Nothobranchius furzeri: one gene and its partner. The protein of the gene in region 2 interacts with the protein of the main gene of each other region in a pairwise test. Links are inferred from orthologs where the notes say so. Each region holds a gene or a part of one and is shown on either strand. Other genes may lie near its edges.

Region 1 (9,793 bases), on a different chromosome or scaffold from region 2:
CTTGTGAGTGGGTTTTTCTGAGCAGGACTGGGCAAAGTTTCACTGAAACAACCCATTTCATTTGTAAATTCAGGCTGACGAAAATAACTCATTTTTAGGATAAATGACATCTCAATAGTGCCAACGGTGATATTTGACCATTTATTGTGCCTACCTTTGCTCTCAAAGTTTTAAAATAGCATGATATTGAACTTTAAAGCTAAAACTACAAGGCGCTTCAAGCAGTAAAATATTAATAAATTATCAAAAAAAAAGATAATAAAGTTTAAAAAAGATAAAAGAAGAGCATAAGATTTTTATTTTGCCCTCAAATGTATGCAAAAGTGGAATTCAAAAATGTTTTTTTTAAATTATACAATGTGTTTATTATTGTTTTAGGGCTTTTTTGTTACTTTTGAAAATAACCCTTTATAAAGCCTTTACACACCTACTTTTTTCATTTTTATATTACTCAGTCATAATATTAATAATAATAACAATCAAATTTTTAAATGGGAGAGCCAATTTAGCTTCAGTGGTACCAGCCCCTCTCTTACTGCCATCATCATCTCCAAATGCAGGATTTGATTTATCACATCAAGATGTCTTTCAACTCCGAATTTGAAGCCCTGCACAGCCAGAAAGAGCTGGAGCTCAAACGTGTGAGGAGCGAGAATAACCAGATGAGGGAATGGATGCTGGACCTGGACCTGGACCAGGAGCTGTGGGAGCCCGAGCAGACCGACAGCGAGTGGCCAGAGAGGCTGCTCACTGTGGACCAGTCTGAGGTCTGGATGTGGACACAGTTCACCTAAAGTTCAACAAACAAAACACGTTGAGCTACTTTGTGGTTTGTTTGTTTGTTTGTGTTCATGCTGAATGTGAGCTATATCTGTGATTATCATCATCACCTTTGACCCGTTTTAGATTAAAGCAGAGAAGTACCTCCCCCCGGAGTGTCTGGAAAAGAAGGGGAGGAGGAAGCTGGAGGAGGAAAAGCATCTCGCTGCTAAAGTATTTATTTCTGGTCAACATGTTTAAAATACTTTAACACATAAATCTTTTCTACTTTTGTTTTTATACAAGATGTTATTTATCAGACAGTTTGAGCCTCATTAGCGGCAATAAAAGCAGGCCTCTCTTTCAGAGTGACACCAAAGAAAGGGCTCTTCGTGAAATGATGGACGGAGTTATCGAAAAGCAGAAAAAGGACATTTTTAAAGTGGTAAAATATTATAACATTCAGTTTTTATGTTGACATATATAAATATTACAATAGATGAATCAGTTGCCGCTGTTGTGATAATATGCTTTTACTAGTTTGATCATTGAATTTTGAAAATATTTAACAGCAAGCCCAGTTAAAATCTATTGATTCAGAATATAAAATCTCTTCTTGATAAACGTTTTATTGTAAATATTTAAATTACATTTTCAATGTATAACTATCATTTATTGTGAAATAGACCACATATTAAATAAGAAAATCAATGGAAGAACCTGTGTTTAGTGTTTATCAAATGCTTTATTCTAAATCACGCTGTAGCAGTAATCAATAACCAATAATATGATTTTTATAGGAGTTTTCTTTAAGCTAATGGCATTAAATCAACTGTTTTTAGGCTGTGTCATTTAAATTGGACAAATCAACAACGACTATATAGTTTATTTAGATTTTCTTCCACAGGAAATCTGTCAGCCTGAGTTTGTTCTGACTAAACCTGACGCTGACTGGACCGAGGAGGAGAAACAACGCTACAAAGAGCATGAAGAGAAGATCAGAGAAACCAACCAGCAGAAGGAGAAATACAGACAGGTGTTACAGAAGATGCACTCATGACTAATATTATTATTTATTTCTTCTTGGTGATCAGCATAAATGAGCTGTTAGCTGATGTTTTGCAGTCTTTGGAAGCTGAAATAAAACAACTGCAGGAATCCAATCAAAATGCCGCCAGAAAGTTTGACGAAGCCCTGGTGAAGCTGTTCAAGAAGAAGTTTCTGTTTACAGCAGCTATATACCAGGTGAGCCGCTTCGTGTGCAGTAGAAAAAAGGGTTCTTCTCCCTTTGAATTTAGCTCTTCCATGATTATTTGATGTGTTTTACAGGAAGAGCTAAGGGTTTACTACCTAATGGACTCGCTGTTCACTGAAGACCAGATGAGGAACCAAGAGCAGGAGCTCAAGCTCCAACATGAAAGAACATTGGCACACAAGGTCGGAGAAATGTTGTAGGCCACTGTGAAAACATTGCTGCAGTGTTTTAGTGAATTCCAGTCTGCTGCAGAAACATCTTTATCTTCATCTTTACATCGTCGCCTGCGTTTCTCTGACAGAACGAATGTTGTGAGGAGGTGAACAGATACCAACGTGAGGTGGAACGGCTCAGGGAGGAATCCGAGCACTTGGTAAAAACCAACCAGGTAAGCTGGTTAAAATACTGAAAATGTCACAGCTTGAAGTGACGGATGTGATTTAATGCCATCACTGTCTCTGCAGGCGTTTGAAAAAGACTTCAAGAAGGAGTTTAAAGACGTGTCTCATCATTTGGTTGATGTACTTTACAAGCTCTTCAAGCATAGACCGAGGTTCGGGATCCTGTCGGCGTAACTTCTATTTCAAACGCGTCTTAGGTACACCTCAGCTTATCCAGACTGCTTCCTGCCTCAGGGTTCAACAGATGAGAGCCCAGACTGAAAACAGGGAGCCTCTTCCTTCTCCAGTCCAAATGCAGACGGCTATGGAGGAGCTGGATGCTCCAGGAAACATGCCAAAGGGTTTGAAACCATCCGTCTGGAGGAGGTTTTGCCAAATGCGCAGAAAAAAAGTAGAAACCGAGTTGAAGGTAAAACAAGAATGAACGAGTTTGGGTCGTTGCTTCTGTCCGACAGTTTAACTGAAATAATGAAGCAAACGTTTACGCTGTTGTTTCGCAGATAAAAACAACAATCTCCACTCTTGCTGAGATGCAGGCCGTCATTGTGAAGAGAAAAGACAAGGAGAAAGCTTTTCAGGGGGAGTTGGAGAAGCTTTCAGAAGCGCTCAAGAGGTTTGACTGATTCATAATCTGATAATCAGCAGCTGGATTAGAACTCCAAAGCTGACAGGTACTGGCACAACACGTGGGTTTGAAGAAAGCTCATTTCTTTTGTTGCTTCTTCGTTGAAGTTTGCACAAAGAGAGGAACAAACACCCGCTGAACGGGGCGGTCCTAGTTAGACTCAAACAGGGACAGGTGGTGTCCCCCTTCAACAGGACAGCTGACAGCACAGGCACCGACTTCATCCTCTGTCACAGGAGTGTGAGAGACAGCAAGAGACACACAATCACGGTTCGCATTGATCCCATTTCATTGCTTTCATTTTCTATCGACTATATCTAATAAACAGTTTTTACTGTCAGGATCTTGCAACAGCGAAGATCGCCTCTACGGAGCGTCTCCAAAGTATTCGTGAACAGATAGTCCAGCTGGAGTGGGAGCACAGGGTGTTAAATAAGACGGCAGAAGACCTCAAAGACAACAAGAAGGACATCAAGATGTTTCGACTCTCAAAGGAGCAAAAAGAGATGAATGTAATTTCATAAAAACATGCAACTGTCTGGACTCACAACTCCTGCTGTACCTTTTGCTTTTTCTCCTCCTGGCAGGGGTTTTCTTGCTGTTTTGGTGAAATGCTAATCCTGTTAGCATGTCTGGCCAAACGCCTGTCTGTGATTTCAAGGCAGGTATTTTGGTTTTGGCAGCGTCGGGTGTTTTTTTCGTGCACAAAATTGTTACCATCTCTCCGCACAGATGGATCATCTTTTATAGAAGACTCACACCCATTTTTCATAGAGCCTCCCCACCCTTTCTCTCCAGCATTTAAACCTCTTACCCAATAGAAAGATTCCTGTGGAAATCGTTGCTCTTTGCTTTGTTTATTGCATTTTTGTGCTTAACTTTTTAAGGAAAACTTTTTTTCCGACTGGATAATATTTAGCTCCTGGCCAGAAAACATGCTCTGTCTTATGGATGTTTTAAAAATAAACAGAGCACATTTAGGTGGTTCAGAAATGAAAAAGCACAAGCTGAGCCATCTGTTAAAATTTATTAACCAACTAAAGAACACGGATGTGTTTTGAGGCGGTGGTGCCAGTTTCCTCTGGCAAAGGGTTCAGGTAATGTTTGTGTTGTGCGGCTCTTAACTTCCTGACATTGTTAAAACCCCTGAAACCATGCAAGAGGAAAGTTTTGATGAGTAGGTTTATTAAAATATTTAGAGCAGACACAAATTAACTTGTAAAACTTTGCAGGTGCTCCTTTTTTTTTTTACAAGTCAACTTCTATTCCTTCCAGTTTTGCAGCAAAGAGGAGCGAGAGCATCGCATGTCTGAGCAAATTGCCAGTTTGGAGAAAACTTTGGCAAAAAAGGTAACAGCGAAGTAATACTTTGTACTGTGCTCTGTGTGCTTTTTAATATTCATCAGTGAAATAATACACATTTATTCTCAATTTCAGACTCTTCAGCAGAGTGCTCAGCAGATGTTTAAAAAGATTGCACTACTTAAGAAAAAAGCGGAGGAAAAAGCAAAGAACAGCCTCAGCTTAGAGCAGCAGATTCCTGACTTGCAGGCGACTTTGGCAGAGCTTGTGAACGACAAGGGAACAGGTAATAAGAAAAACGATCATTTCAGATACAGAGTGCACACACTGGAGCGGCCTTCTAATGATGATGTGGCTCTTTAGTTATAGCTGCAGACGAAAATGCTGAGAGAAATGCCTGCTACCAGGAAACCGTTCAAAGGAGTAACTTGGAGAGCCTTGCCAGGGAACAGGCAGAGGAACTGCAGTTCCTCTGGGAAGAAGTTGAACATCTGAGGAGGAGGAATTTCCCGTGTTTTGATCTGCCGAAACACTACTGATTAAAAACTTTTCTTCAAAACTTAGAACATGAAATGTACTTTTATTGTGAACGGGAATTATAGAAACACCAAATAAAACTTGCAGTTGTGCTGACTTCTCTTCAGTGTGTTTGTGGTTAATTATGTAGTGAAGTCCTCTTCAGTGCGATCAAAGTGCAGAATGCTGTCCTCCAGCCTGAACAGGTCCATGAGCTCTGACAGGCTTGCCTTGCGTCCATCCACAGGGACCTCTGACTGCAGCTCACACAGAGCAGCCTGAGCACCGCTCCGCCACTTGTCGATCAAGGTTTGCAGCTGTGTTAAATCGTTCTAAAAAAACAATGACTCGTATTAATTCTCAGCCTTGGTGATCACAAATAAAGAGGATGGGGTTAGAAGTAGCTGATACCTTGCTTCTGTACATTTGGACCATCTTGAGTCGGCGCAGAGTCTCTGTTTTTTCTTTCACCTCCTTTCTGAGTTGTTGTGCAACGTCTCCAGAGGAGACAAGTGTGGGTCCGGATAGCCTTTCGCTTCCTGCGTTATCCCTGTTGTGTACCGAGACCGGAGGATCGCTGCCCGTTTCCACTGAAGCTTGATGGCCACCCTGCTCTCCGCTGTCCACGCAGAGGCGTTTGGCCACCGAGAGGGGCGATGTGAAGGAGCGCCTGGTTCTCTTCAGCCTCTCCCTCAGAGAGGAACTCGGCTTCGGATGCTATCAGAGAAACCCGACATGAATCAAGCCTGAAACGTGTTTTAGATTATGATGTTAGCTAATAGTTTACGCACCACTTTAGCTAACAATACTCACCTTTTCCTTTCTAAACTCCTCCGATGGGCTTGACTCGGCTGAACTGTACGATAAACACCGTTCAGTCTTTAATTTGTCTCCTTTGGGAGTGACATCCATCGGTAAAACAGACTTACACTCGTAAAAAATGACTTTGTAGCGCGTTCACAACACAAAATTCTGGTTTTCCGTATTTCCGCGGGTCATGGCCTCCTGCGTGTGTGATTGGTCAGAATTTGATTACGTAAAGCCGAACGGAATTCTGGGAGTTGAAGCCTTTAGGGTAAAATGCATTTAGGCTAGACTTTTATCTTTGAAACCTTTTTATGTGACAGACACAAATAAAAAAACGTTCATACGTTTCAATTTAATTGAAAGATTGAAGGCAGTGCTTAGGGGACATAGGAGGACTATTTTTTTTGCTAAATTTAGTATTTGTTTTATTTAAATATGTCATATATTTGTATACTCTTGTGAATTCGTTCTGTGTGTAACTTCAATATCCATTACTTTGTGTTTTTTAACAAGGCTTAGTTTAAATAAATTTAATTTTTATTCCCATAGGTAAAAAACTTTTTTTTACTAACTTGTGTAAAAAATAACGAAGTAATGGGTCCTATTTTGTGTTCTTTTTTATGCTAGAAATCGGCATTAAAAATGTTAACTAAAACACAAAACACACACACGTTGTGATCGCTCACTTCATAAAAAATTATCACAGGACTGCCCTTCAGCATTTAATGTGTTTTAAAACTCGAGCATACACTGAAGCCACACGATCCTCCTTATGTTTAACTATAATATTTCTTTTCAGTTTGAGTTAATTTCAGAACAAATTGAGATTTTCCATTAAACCCGATGCGAGACAGGACCGCTCCTGCGGGATTAAATGGATAACCTTTTGCACTCAAGCAAAGCACAAAGTAAAAGTGATTTCTAAGGGCCGGCGGACATGCCTGGTACATGCTGCTCTTACTAAAGTTGAGTCATAATTTGCTTCACCCCTTCCCATTAGCTGATTCATCTCTTTTACAGCTACCTATTTATAACTCTTCAAGCCCTTTAAGAGTTTTTTTTCCCCACTTGTATATGATAACTCACTTTTTTGTGTGTGTCTATGCGGCCACGGGGTGTGTGAAAATGTAAATTATGATGCTGCCTGGACTTGAACATCAGTTCTTGGCAGGGCGATATTACACACCCAAGGGAGCTGGGGATTTTTTTACATTTTATATGGATGATTCTCAGAGGGCTGAGGGCTGAAGATAATTACTGTGTGTTAGTCAGTAGACTGTTTGCAGTGTTTTTTTTTTTATCTTACCAAGTTGACATAAAATACTTTGCTCTATTCCCAGAAACAAACATGGAGTAACTGGTGGGGGTTTATTGAATCTAGAGGCGATGTGAGACTTTGAGGATGCCAGAACCTTCATCACATTCTAAATAGGCCACTTATTAGTGCAAATGTGTGCTTTATTTTTAATTTTTTTTGGTGTGTTTTTATTCTGTACAGTGTCCTTGAGTGACCAGAAAGGCGCTTTTAAATAAAATGTATTATTAGTAGTAGTAGTACAAATGTTATGTATGTATGCCATGTTTTAGCAAGCTATCAGTTCCTGATGATGTTTTTTTTTACTCTTTGGGAGACATTTTCAGGCTTTTCCAGTGGAAGAAACATGACACAATATGCAGTTTTTCCCTGCAGAAATGAATTTCCCTTTTGTGGGATTAATAAATTCTATTCTATTCTATTCTATTCTATTCTAATGCTACACCAGTCATCTCAATACTTTTCAGGCTTTCACATCGGCATCAAGACGTGTCAACTGGAAACGTGGTGAAAGAATCCTTCATAAGACAAAGACAATGTTTCTTGGTGGTGCTGATTAATAATGGATGAAAAGAGACATGACATGTTTAATCTTGCTAAGATCTGTCATGTGTTCCCTTATCACTGGTTCCTCCTTTAAATTACAAGAGTCTGTTTATGTCGGAATATTTAAGACATGCATGTCCAAAGAGTGGCCTGGGGGCCATTTATGGCCCTCAGATTAACTTAGTGCTTTTTTAGAACGATGAATTTATTCTCTACAGCAGGTTGTGAAACTGGAGTTATACTTTTATGCTTTTATGTTTAGATTTTTACTAATATACTTATTATACAATAGATCTACTGTCAGGATTTTAAAAAATCACCAAAAATGTATTTAAAGAGCAAGTCACCCCCTACCAGAGTATTACTCCACTCCCACTTCCTGTTTGAAAAATGCAACAAATGCTGTTGCCTATAGCAGAACGAGAGGGCGGAGCCACTAACAAACACACACACAGGCTCACAACGACATTGTGACATCATATGGTACCAGCTAACACTCTAGGGTACCTCTTAGCCAATAGCGATGGCAGATTTAAATTCAAATGCAGTGCAGAGTTTTTACCTGACAACGCACAACACTGACAGTTTCAGGCAGAAAATTAAAGTTTTAACTAAAATGCACTAAAGTGCAAAACTAATGACTTACATGTGTCTGCAGCGCGATTAAACACACATTTCTATAGTTTATCAGAAAAAAAGGTAGATTTGGGGGTGTCTTGCTCTTTAAGCATTTTTTAAGGGTAAAGGAAGTAAGAACTTTACTGTGAAATAATCACAAAGCAGTCTAATGTCTCAGTCATGTTGGAAGGAAGGTTACATTGAAACAGACTTCTTTCTCAAGAAAAAATTTCTCCCCGCCCCCCCCTCTCCTTGCAGTCACCGCCTCTAAACTCACGATTCCTGTCGTTTCCTGACAAGAATAATAAGTTTGCTGCATGTCTTTGAACTCCTTCAGTCAAGAGTGTATTAAAGTGTCTGCTCCATGTCTGTCACTAGATATGTTCAGCTCTCGCTTTGTTTATTTGAGGGGGGAAGATGATGCTGCTGATGCCGTTAAAGGAAGCAGCATACTAACCAATCACAGGCTCGTGGTCTTTGTCGCTTTTGATGGATATTTAGAAAAGGGTTAGAGAGAGGTCTCGTTTGTTTTCATAAATAGACTGCAGTACCCAACAGGATGTCATATTTACTTCATGCACCTTTAACTTAGAACAATCATATTCTCGAGGCCTGCAATAATTAAATAGACAATTTTGGCCTTTGTCTTAAAAAGTTTGGACACCGTTGATTTAATGGATCAAGTGAACAAATACAAATCTGAAAATGGAACCAAAACCAAAGTAAAAAGAAAGAAAACATTAAAAACTCTTAAAAAAACACTGACCAAGAAAAAGTAAAAAAAAAACATGTTGTTTTTTATATATCATAAAGTGACAAAATAGTCCTTAAAATGATGTTTTCTTCCTATGTGAAGCTTCTTTAAACACTTTCCCTTTGCTTGTTAGATGGCAGCAACTGAAAGGGTTTAAATTGGGACTAAAAACAGAAGTAATTTAGAAATAGCAGCTTGACATTCAGCCTACTGACTGTTGTGCCAGCTGGATGGTTGGGTTACAGCTACATACTTTCAAAATAAACCCTCATAATGCGTTTCATACTGACCATAAATTCTACTTTACACTTTGTTCTGTTGAGCCCTTTTGTGTGCATGTTGCCTTAAAGCTATACTGCTGATTGTTGTCATTTAAATTTCAGTGATTTACGGTTTTATAATATTTATTAAAATTCAGAAAAATTGCCATAATTCATGTGAAATTGCATTTTGGCGGGGGGGGGGTCAAATTGATTAGCAAACAATAAAAAATAAACTTTAATTTGTCTTTATTTCCTCGTTGGAAAAATAAGATTAACATAGAGACACTGATGACACCAGTTTATTTCTGAAGCACATTTAAAAACAGCATGGCAGCTGACCAATCTGCAGTACGGCTACAAATTAAAACACAATATAAAAGCAAAAACACAGTCAATCCTAACAATATATAGCAAAGCAGGTAATCACAGTCATCAGTAAGAATACATAATGACAATAAAAAGTCAGGGGTTTGGAAACGCCAGGTCATAAAAGTAGGTCTTAAGCTATGACTTAAACCAGGGAAGGGATGGTGCCTGCCTCACTGAGAGAGGAAGAGCATTCCAGAAGGACGGAGCAGCATGCACAAAAACACGCTCCCCCCACACGTTATATTTCATAGTCAGAACGTGAA
Region 2 (11,243 bases):
GATCCCGTTAGATCATTCAGAACAAGAGGACATGAAGAAAAGCTTCGCTGATTCCTCTCCACTCTTAGTTACTGTTAAGTTTGGGGATGTAAGAAAATAGCAACACACAGAAATATCACAATATGCAGTGTTTGTGAATCGATATTTAAAAGCAGCGTACCCATTTTCTTTAGAGAATTTACAAACATTTACTGAACAGGTCCTTCTCAATAAATTAGCATATTGTGATAAAGTTCATTATTGTCTGTAATGTACTGATAAACATTAGACTTTCATATATATTAGATTCATTACACACAACTGAAGTAGTTCAAGCCTTTTACTGTTTCTAATATTGATGATTTTGGCGTACAGCTCATGAAAACCCAAATTTGCTATCTCTAAAAATTTGCATATTTCATCCGACCAATAAAAAAAAGTGATTTTAATACAAAAAAGTCAACCTTCAAATAATTATGTTCAGTTATGCACTCAGTACTTGGTCGGGAATCCTTTAGCAGAAATGACTGCTTCAATGCGGCGTGGCATGGAGGCGATCAGCCTGTGGCACTGCTGAGGTGTTATGGAGGCCCAGGATGCTTCGATAGCGGCCTTAAGCTCATCCAGAGTGTTGGGTCTGGCGTCTCTCAACTTTCTCTTCACAATATCCCACAGATTCTCTACGGGGTTCAGGTCATACCATGGTCAGTAAACCCTTTAGCAGTGGTGTTGGCACTGTGAGCAGGTGCCAGGTCGTGCTGAAAAATGAAATCTTCATCTCCATAAAGCTTTTCAGCAGATGGAAGCATGAAGTGCTCCAAAATCTCCTGATAGCTAGCTGCATGGACCCTGCCCTTGATAAAACACAGTGGACCAACACCAGCAGCTGACATGGCACCCCAGACCATCACTGACTGTGGGTACTTGACACTGGACTTCAGGCATGTTGGCATTTCCCTCTGCCCAGTCTTCCTCCAGACTCTGGCACCTTGATTTCTGAATGACATCAAAATTTGCTTTCATCTGTAAAAAGTACTTTGGACCACTGAGCAACAGTCCAGCGCTGCTTCTCTGTAGCCCAGGTCAGGCGCTTCTGCCACGGTTTCTGGTTCAAAGGTGGCTTGACCTGGGGAATGCGGCACCTGTAGCCCATTTCCTGCACACGCCTGTACACGGTGGCTCTGGATGTTTCTACTCCAGACTCAGTCCACTGCCTCCGCAGGTCCCCCAAGGTCTGGAATCGGTCCTTCTCCACAATCTTCCTCAGGGTCCGGTCACCTCTTCTCGTTGTGCAGCGCTTTCTGCCACACTTGTTCCTTCCCACAGACTTCCCACTGAGGTGCCTTGATGCAGCACTCTGGGAACAGCCTATTCACTCAGAAATGTCTTTCTGTGTCTTACCCTCTTGCTTGAGGGTGTCAATGATGGCCTTGTGGACAGCAGTCAGGTCGGCAGTCTTACCCATGATTGTGGTTTTGAGTAAGGAACCAGGCTGGGAGTTTTTAAAAGCCTCAGGAATCTTTTGCAGGTGTTTAGAGTTAATTAGTGGATTCAGATGATTAGGTTAATAGCTCGTTTAGAAAACCTTTTCATGATATGCTAATTTTTAGAGACAGGAATTTTGGGTTTTCATGAGCTGTACGCCAAAATCATCAATATTAGAAACAGTAAAAGGCTTGAACTACTTCAGTTGTGTGTAATGAATCTAATATATATGAAAGTCTAATGTTTATCAGTACATTACAGACAATAATGAACTTTATCACAATATGCAGATTTTTTTTGAAGGACCTGTATTTTTGTGCGGTGCAATTCAAACTCCGACTGCAAGGTGGCAGCAGCTTCCACCGCCTCCACTCTGACGGAACAACGAGATCTCACAATCATACTGTTATAATACTGGAAGAGTCTGATCTGAGTTTTCCAATGAATTTCAGTCTAATCGGGGTTTTAGTGTCACGACGTATCGTCTGTATTGTGATATTTATCTCATCGCCAGATTAGGGTTAGGATTACACACCGCTGGTTACATTCTCACCTGATTCTCTTCTACCTCTGAGGGCTAAACAGACAAAAAAACACAGATGTGTGGCTTTCAGGAATCACAGTAAAAACTCGGACACATCTAACACCACAGAAACGCTCTGAATCCCCCCGAAGGCCTTTTACTAACAGGTGCGTACAGAAGCAGACGTAAAACCCAACGCAGACTCACCACTGGCTCTGTGGTGGCTGATTTGTTGCTCTGCTCTTCAGGACCGAGTTTCTGCAGCAGTTTGTCTGCCTCTCTGGTCTGAACACAAACAAACAAACAAACAAACAAACAAACTTTGTGTGAGTGATCAGTGCTCAGATTTAGGACAGAAGTGGAGTGAAGCATCATACTTTGTCGTTTCTACTCTCGTCACTTGGGTTTCTCTCTTCCTGGTCTTTCTGCCGCTCTCTGTGTTTGTCTCTGTGAGATTCTCTCTCTCTGATTGTCTGATCGTCTCTGCCTCGATCCCTGTCGCGGTCTTTCTCCTTGTGCCTGTCCCGGGCGTGTCCTTTGTCCTGCTCCCGGTCCCTGCTCTTGTCGTGGCCTTTGGCGGGATGCTGCTGCTCACCGCGGTGATTCCTGTCGGAGCGCCTACGGTCCCGTTGGTGCTCTTTATTCTCATCTCTGCGTTGACTCTCTGGCTTTTGGGGCCGCTCGGCGTCCTTCTGGTCCTCGCTGCTGCTGCGCTCGGTTGCCTTTTTCTTTTCCTGATATTATATAAACCAAAGTAAGGACGGGGACCCGATCATGAGGATAGATATGTGAAACATAACTTTTTATTGGAAAAGTATAGAAAAGTCTTTTTACTCACCTCATCATTCTGTGTGTGTTTGCGTCCCTCCCTGTCGTTACTCTGAGACTTGGACGTGCTGGCTCTGGTTTTTAAGTCCACCTTGTCTCCTGCCAGCACTCGCTTCACTGCTTCATCACTGGACAACTGCAGACCAAACAGTAAAGATCCTCAAAGCGGAGGATGGAAAAAACCTCATCGTGTTTTTAAGTTGAAAGGCAACATTTCACAAATAACACACATTTTAAATGTATTCTTATTCATCCCCTCTTACGTCATCTGTACACGCACTTGTTTTAGCTTGTGTGTTTTTGCCTTTTTCACACTTATGGCCTAAAAAAAGAAAATGATGCTACAACCTTCAGTGCTCTACACAAATATTCTGATTCTCGCTGCATACGCTGCAGTGAGAATGTATTTAAAGCACCAGGAACTGTTTACAACGGTCCCTAGGAAAGTGGCTCATTACCTCCACCTCCAGGGTGTGTCAGAGTTCTCCTGAGGCAGAAGAAAACATTTCCCAGGAGTGGAAAAAATGTTTGTTAAAAACAAAAATGGAGTTTTATTTTAATGAATTCCCATAAAAACAATATAAAAAACACTTTTTGTGTCTTTGTGTGAGTGCGTACACATGCATATGCACGTGTGTGAGTGTGAGTGTGTGTGTGTGCGTGTGTGTGAGTGTGAGTGCATGTGTGTGTGTGTGTGTGTGTGTGAGTGTGAGTGCATGTGTGTGTGTGTGAGTGTGAGTGTGAGTGTGAGTGTGAGTGTGTGTGTGTGTGTGTGTGTGTGCGTGCGCGCGCGTGTGTGTGTGTGTGTGTGTGTGTGTGTGTGTGTGTGTGTGTGTGTGAGTGTGAGTGCATGTGTGTGTGTGTGTGTGTGTGTGTGCGTGCGTGTGTGTGTGCGCGCGCGTGTGTGTGTGATGCAGACCTTATTGAGGCAGCACTTGCCGATGGCCTGAAGCAGCTCGTTGGTTTTCTCCGGCTCATGGCCGGCAACGATCCGTGCGGGCTTGGCCGCCAGAGGCTCGCCGGTCACCAGCATCACGACATCTATCGCTTTCTGAAGAAAGGTTATTTTTGAGTCCTTTTCCTAGAATGAGATATAATGAAAAAAGCCGTTACCGAGACAAAAACATTTAAAATATAAACTGATTAAAGGCAAAATCTAAATAAAATTGGTTCCATACCAAAAAGAAATGATGACATCATTTGTTTTGTGCAAAAGCAGGTCAGTAAACTGATAAACCAAAGACCAGGAGGACTTGTTGGTCAAACTGACTTCTCTGCACTCCTGACAGCTGAAGTGATGAAACTGAAATATGAATCTTACCCCCAGAGTGACTGGGTTTAACCGCTTGTTACCTCGTTGTTCGAGGGAGGAAATGTAAAACACAACACTAACAACTCATTTCTCTCACTAGTAAGAAACGGGCAGCGTGCAGCTACGTTTGTAAGCAGAGAAGACTCGGTGTAGCTCTCTTTCATTCAGTCCTAATCAAGGATCGCCTTGCAAATAGCAGACTAGCATTCTGACACCTCGACAAACACTCAGTCTCTGCCTGCCAGATCTTCTAGCTCACAGTGTTGCCAGACGGCGTATCTGGTGACTCAGGCTGCCCAGTGAAAACACACGGGGGTAATCCTGAACAAATTAGTCTTTTCAGGGGAAAAAAAGGTCAAAAATCAAGTAAATATAGCAAGAGTAAGCTTACCTTTACACTATCTGACTTCATTTCATTTTCTCCATAGAGGCCTTTCAAAAAACCAGTGCTCCTGATTACCTTAGAGTCAAGAGGAAAATAAAGGTTTACTGTTATTATACAAATATTATAGGTGCTTCTGCAAAACCTACATCATTCTAATACAAGTTAACACAAAATGTTTTTGATTTTATGGAAGCAAGCTTAAAGCAGACTTATGGCTGCAAAATGTTTTAATTTTCAATCAAGTATGTCTTAAACAACTGAATTCCTTTAGTCAGATAAAAGAATATTGCTATAGGAATGCTAACCTCAATTAATTATAAATAAAGCTAGAGTGAAACATAAAACCATCCAACCAGTGTGGTGAGAGAATAAGATCTCAGTTCTGTTTAGAAAATAGATTTAGTCTCTAATCTGTTAAAGAAAAGAGTTAAAATATGAGTTTAATTGTAAAAAAAACATGCTTTTAAAGAAAATATTTTTAAAATTACATTATATATTATGTATTATTTAGTTCATGCAGTTATATACATTTTGCTAATATATCCTGTTTGTGAATACCCGTTCTGCTTTCTTAAGCATGTACACAAACACAAATGTACGATTTTATTTTTTACACAAACATGAGCAGAAAAAGGGTTTAACACAAGAAGCTGACGTCATATTGTTCTACACACATCACACACACAGATGCTCAGTTATGGGAAGAATAATAACCTAAATAATTTAGGTAAATAATGAAAACACACTTTTTCTGCACAAATACTCATTCAGTTAGGAAATGCTCGTCAGTCAAAAATAAATCAGGAAAACAGCAGAGTGGCTCATCAAAATAAGAGCATCTAATGATGCCCCAAACACAAACAGTACGACAGACTGCACTCTACAATATATTATGATTCTAATTCTTGTGTAGATACATTATTCAAATAAATAGTATTTTAAACCGGTTTTTGGTTATTTAAAATCTTAAATATTCTAAATTTTCCTTATTCAGAAAACGTCAGTTGCCAGAAGATAACAGGAAAATGTTTGATGTACAAAATATGTTGCCTTTGTGTTTTACCCTCGTTCTGCCATTTCTACTTAGACAAGAGTAAGTTTTGTCTTAAGAAGGGACAATCATTGAAATAATAATACTTTTTGACATTTACACTGTCATTATTTGGAGCTGATACTACAAATAAAATACAAATTTTAATATTTATCCAGACCTACGACTTACACTGGTGAATCCTACGTTTGTAAACATCTAACATCTAGATGTCGATCAAATGTTGCTGTACATTAAATACAAAAAGGCAGAACTTATGCATCCAACAAGACAGCTGTGGTCAGCTGCTCGGCAGCAGGTGTGAAGCAAGTACAACCTAAACATGTACAGTCATAATAATGAACGTTAGCAGCTGCTTGTCTTTAACGCGTGTTCGCTCTGGGTGCTGAAGAGGAGAAATGCAGTGATACCGCTTTTGAACAGCTGCGGTTAAGCTAACTCGCTCCTGGTGAGGGTTGTCCGGTTAGAGCTATCCCTTTCATGGACACAGATAATAAAGCACACGCAAGGGCTTCATATACAGTTTTTAACTTTATAAAATGTCTTTAAACGTAACTGTTGTCCTTAGTCGGTCTCACCTCACTGATGATGTCGTGAAGGTAACGAAACGGCGGTTTGTTTAGCAGTTTTTCCGTTAACGGCGGCTTCTTTATGACTTTCCCCAGCGTGTCCTGAGTCCTCTTCACCACCGCTGCGTTCATGGCGGCAGATGAAATCCCAACTGAACAATTTAGCTGCTAGAAAAGGGGCGAAAACTGGTCTAAAACACGAATGCTAGGCGGCTCTGGGGCTCCGTTGCTATGTCAATATCCAACAATCCCACAGTGCACCGCGAACGAAAGCTGCGCATGCGCCATAGGCTTTCGGTTGCTAGGTGTTCTGTGTCCATAGCAACGGTAGCTAGCTATGTAGAAAGAAACGAAATAAGGAAAACGATCGTGTATACAGCGCATCTCCAGATAAAAACCACGACGTGCTTCACAAGAACAAAAATAAATAAAGATTAGGCCGACAGACAGACAGACAGATGATAGATAGATAGATAGATAGATAGATAGATAGATAGATAGATAGATAGATAGATAGATAGATAGATAGATAGATAGATAGATAGATAGATAGATACCTAAATTTTATTGTTTTTATTATTGTTTCCTTATTCACAACAACACTTAATTTCCATCTGGGATTAATGAAGCATTTTCTAACTGGATTTATTAAACAAGCACTAATACTACATTTAGAGTCAGTGTTTCAAAGAATTTTATTTATGAAAGTATGAATTATGAAATCGTATGAAGGTGTGCCCAAACTTCCCATGCATGCAAATATGTCTCATATAAGTCATAGACCTTTCTTTGTGTTTCATTTAAAGCAGGATGCTTGTTTTACCCGTTTGGCAAGTTCGGTTAAAAGTCTGACAAAAGGTAAGGTGAGAAGAACAGCTCAAACAGACGCTTGCTGCTTCACGCTGGACAGGTAAGACATCCACTACGAGTGACTTCAGTAGCCAAAAATCAGAAAATTCAGATTCAGTTTCAGCTGGAAAGTTGTTCGCTGCTCTTCAGAATAGAAATGTAATGCTTAAACCATTTAATGCTACGTAAGGGCTTGCAAAGTTACATGCTGTTTCTTTCAAAAAGAAAAAAAGGTACAATAGTTCATTGGATTGAGATTAAATAAGAAGCTGCATTAATACATTAAGACTCATTCCTATTTTGATTACAGTAAACAGCTGTGATGATGTCATCCATAATAAAATAAAATATAAAAATAATAGTAACATAAAACAAGCTTCCTTCGCGGCATCATCGCGCCGGCCTGTCAGACTTGTTTGGTGACTCAGAGCTGAAGCCCTTCAGTGAGCTCTGCGGGTGTAAGAGTTCAAAAAATGCTTTGTGCTTTAAAAGTGCACGCCTTATTCAGCTGTCTGGTTCTCCAGAGGACGAGGAGATGCTTCACTGGGCTGTGTTTGCTCTGCTGATCGGCGCTTGTGCCGCTGCAGAAGAACAGAAGAAGAAGGAGAAGGCTCCATCTCTGTCAAAAGGTGGGTCGCTCTCATTCAGCCTCCATGTTTCTGATCATTCATCAGTCAGATTGACCGATTTAGTCCCAGCACACAACCTGAGTTTGAATTCAGCTTGTGAAGGGCGCAATAAAAGCAAACAGGACATGTTTAAATGTATTTTCTGTTCAGGATGGGGGAATAATATCAAATGGGTCAAAAGTTATGAAGAGGGCCTAGAAGAAATGACAAAAAGGTAAGAGTTCATTTCTTTTGTGCTATAGCTCCTCTTTATGCAATATCAGTCAATCGTTGAAATCCATGCATGGTGCCTCATGTTCTCAGTACTTTAGTCGTTATTGACAACCATCAGTATGCTGAGCTGTTTCCCTGTGGTTTCACTCTCCCAGTCAGAAACCATTGATGGTCATCCATCATCTAGACAGCTGCCCACACAGTCAAGGTACCGCTCTTACATTGCTTCTTGTTTGATTTGATCTTCTAACCATCTTTCTCCGAGCACCTCGAACGAGCCGTCCCGTCCAGGTGGTGGGTTTGGCCTCAGTGGGAGTGAGATGTTCCTGAATGTGTGCTCTGGAGTAGAGCTGTACACATTAATCACTCAGCTGGTTTCCTGTTGGTGAGCTCAGTGAGCACCTACAACACGCCGATGAGAACGACCTCTAGCAGGGAAGATCTCCGTCTCGGTTTGATGCAGGCTTTAAACAACTGGGTTTTGTTTGCTCATGTGGCATCCGGGGTTGCTGTAGTTGCAACACCACCTGGGGAGTAACACCCCAGGAAATAAAGACACAGGTCCACTCTACAGATCAGGCAGGAGATGTGCTTTTATTAAAATATAAAAGAAAAAGAAAAGACTGAATTAACCTGAACAGGCTGAATCTTTCACCAAACCAAACTAAAGTCACCCGTCACAGTGGCCTGCATCCAGGAGGTGCATGGTGAAGGAACACACACACACTGGGACGTAATTTGGGGGGGGGGACGGGTGGGACATGTCCCCCCCACTTTTTCAAAAGGCAGTTTTGGTCCCCTGCACTTTTTTCCGTCCAAAAACAATGTTACGCTCCATTAAATGGATTTAGTTGAGCACTAGGACCGAAACGGAAACCGGTTTACTATTAGACCCGCCCAAAAGCTAATCTATTGGCTCTGCTGATACTTGCTAACGTATTATTGGCTGTTGCTGCTGTCACTCAAGTTGGAAACAGTCAGAACGTGCTCACGTTGTTTTGCTAGTTTGGAGCCGCTAGGGAACACCGGTACTGAGTCACATCGTCAACTAGACGCTGTGTAATATCAGAGCTCAGCTCAGCTTCCACTACATAACATTTGAATAAGTGTTCATTTGTGAGTCTTTGGTAGTTAGGCACAGCCAGGCGGCAGCATGTCAAGAAAACGAAAAGTGGATATAAGAGACTTCTTTCAAAGTCTAAACGTAAGTTGGAACATGTGACACCGCTGCATTAAGCTCAGACTGACCTCCTCCTTCACAAACATACTCAAAACTAACTTTTACAAACTCATCTCCTCCACATAACTGACTCCTCAGACACAATTTATTCGTATTATTATAATTATTATTATTTTTATTATTACTATTATCATCATAATTATTATTACTAGTAGTAGTAGTAGTAGAAGTGTAACTTCAAAACTTTTATCATTTAACTTTATTGTAAACTTATCTATTGCAATGTATATGTTCACATTAAAAAGCTCTGAAAAATGAACAGTATCATCATCGTCAACAGATTTTTAGAGCTTAATGTCAAAGATGTACACTTTTCATTAGATTTATCTTATTTTTTCCTTTTATTTTTTGTGTGTTGAAATGCAACAACTGTTTAAACACTTTTAAGGGAAAAAACATATTTAATATGTTTTTATACACTCAAATGTTAGGGTGATGATCATGTGTAAAACATTAGTTCAGCATGTCCTCTAACACAGCAAATGAACAAACGGCCAGATCTCAGGAGGGACCGTTTATGTATAAATAATTTTTATACTTTTGACTAGGCCTGGGAAAGTAACACATTTTGCTGGACGATATTTTGTCCAACAAATTGTTGATGATAAACGATATTGTCAACATTATCTAGACCAAAATAACCACTAATATAATGTTAATATATCATAATAATGCAAGTACACCCTTTAAAATGCAACAAATAAACCTTCATTTAACATTGAAATGTCCAGAACCAGAACTTCTAAATGAATAAAAATAACAAACAAAAATTGAATAAAAAAAGAACCTCACTCCCTGTTAGAAAATGTTGCACCAAAAACAACAAAAAAGACCCAAAACAATAAATACAATGGCCTATCCATTGTCAACAGCCAAAACTGCACTTCAATAATGATAATAAATAAAAATAATAATAGAGTTGTACATTTTTTAACTTTGATATATATATATATATGAGGATGGAAAAATTATTGAGATGGGCACGTGACGTGTCAAGGGGTATTTACATAACACCCCCCACCCCAAATCCGTACAAGCCTGCTGTGTCCCCCCCACTTCTGAAATCAAAATTTCGTCCCTGCACACACACACACACACACACACATATGTGGAAAACTCCCCACCACCAAGGCCGATGGTACCCCACTGGGAGCAAACAGCCTGCAATAAAAGAAAGAAACTGTCAAAAACAAAAGCAGGCAGTTGGCTAAACGTGTTATAAAAAGATGGACAATCTGCTAGTTCACCAGCCAGGAGTTGAAGGCTGTCTAAAATAAATAAAAATAAAGTTAAATAATTTATTTTAAACGAGCAATCAGTCTCGCTCAGATGCGCGCCACACACATTGAAGAGTTAAACAGCTGGAAAGTTCTTGCTGCTGGAGACACCGGAGAGGTGGTCCTCCTGGACCCGAGTGGAGTCTCACTAGTCTAGTCTAGGAGGTGATGTCAAGCGGAACAGGTGTTACGTCGATATGTGTTCCCCCCTCGAGATCTGTTTCTTTTGCACCCAGCTGCAAGTGGAAACGACCCAATCACAAAAAATAACCCTCACCCTTACCCTAACCACCCAGTCACCAAAAATGTGTGTTTAGCATAAATATAAATGTAGAAAATATTATGTGTGGCACAATTTTTCTGTTTGTTTCAGGGTTATGGTTAGGGTAAGGGTTGGGTTATAACGCCAAGGTTAGTGAGAGGCGATCCCCGAGGGAACAAACCCCTGCCCTTAAAACAGGGCGCCCTCAACAGGTGATTGGTTGAGCAGCATCCCCCAGCTGCAAACGATCACCCTGCTACACTCACGTCTGCAGAGAACAATGTGTGCAACATTTTCAGAATTTTCTGGGGCAAATAAAAAGTACCAGTAATGTTTTCGTGGCGTGCACAAACACAATAACGTCTAAACTATTTTAACAGCACTGAAGAAGGTGTTTGTTGCTGATAAGGGCATCCAGAAAATGGCTAAAGAGGACTTCATCATGCTCAACCTGGTGGTAAATAAGCATCTTTATTACCTGGCCTCCAAATATTCAAAGCATGCAAAGATTATAGAAAATAAAAATCATCTTTACTTAAAGAGCAAGTCACCCCCTACCAGATTCTTACTCCACTCCCACTTCCTGTTTGAGAAATGCAACAAATGCTGTTGCCTGGCAGACCGAGAGGGCGGAGCCTCTA

The links.
Region 1: the proteins of traf3ip1 (region 2) and sfr1 interact in a two-hybrid assay, tested with the Homo sapiens proteins (2 studies listed by BioGRID and IntAct). The link is inferred for Nothobranchius furzeri from reciprocal best matches to the Homo sapiens genes TRAF3IP1 and SFR1.

Annotation. Positions count from the first base shown.
Region 1 is NC_091752.1:33,771,124-33,780,916, reverse strand, and holds sfr1 (swi5-dependent recombination DNA repair protein 1 homolog), read right to left. Parts: upstream 5,897-9,793; 5' UTR 5,771-5,896; coding exon 5,672-5,770; intron 5,576-5,671; coding exon 5,270-5,575; intron 5,191-5,269; coding exon 5,002-5,190; 3' UTR 4,903-5,001; downstream 1-4,902. Other genes in the region: cfap43 (cilia- and flagella-associated protein 43), read left to right, coding at 561-767, 907-993, 1,127-1,204, 1,667-1,795, 1,885-2,004, 2,089-2,196, 2,316-2,402, 2,479-2,567 and 7 more. UniProt on the Homo sapiens protein: Component of the SWI5-SFR1 complex, a complex required for double-strand break repair via homologous recombination. Acts as a transcriptional modulator for ESR1.
Region 2 is NC_091754.1:2,496,186-2,507,428, forward strand, and holds the start of traf3ip1 (TRAF3-interacting protein 1), read right to left. Parts: upstream 6,364-11,243; 5' UTR 6,265-6,363; coding exon 6,142-6,264; intron 4,588-6,141; coding exon 4,519-4,587; intron 3,897-4,518; coding exon 3,735-3,896; intron 2,952-3,734; coding exon 2,826-2,951; intron 2,722-2,825; coding exon 2,365-2,721; intron 2,273-2,364; coding exon 2,195-2,272; intron 2,042-2,194; coding exon 2,018-2,041; intron 1-2,017. Other genes in the region: agr1 (anterior gradient 1), read left to right, coding at 6,364-6,459, 6,939-7,042, 7,474-7,610, 7,761-7,824, 7,979-8,031, 10,983-11,059.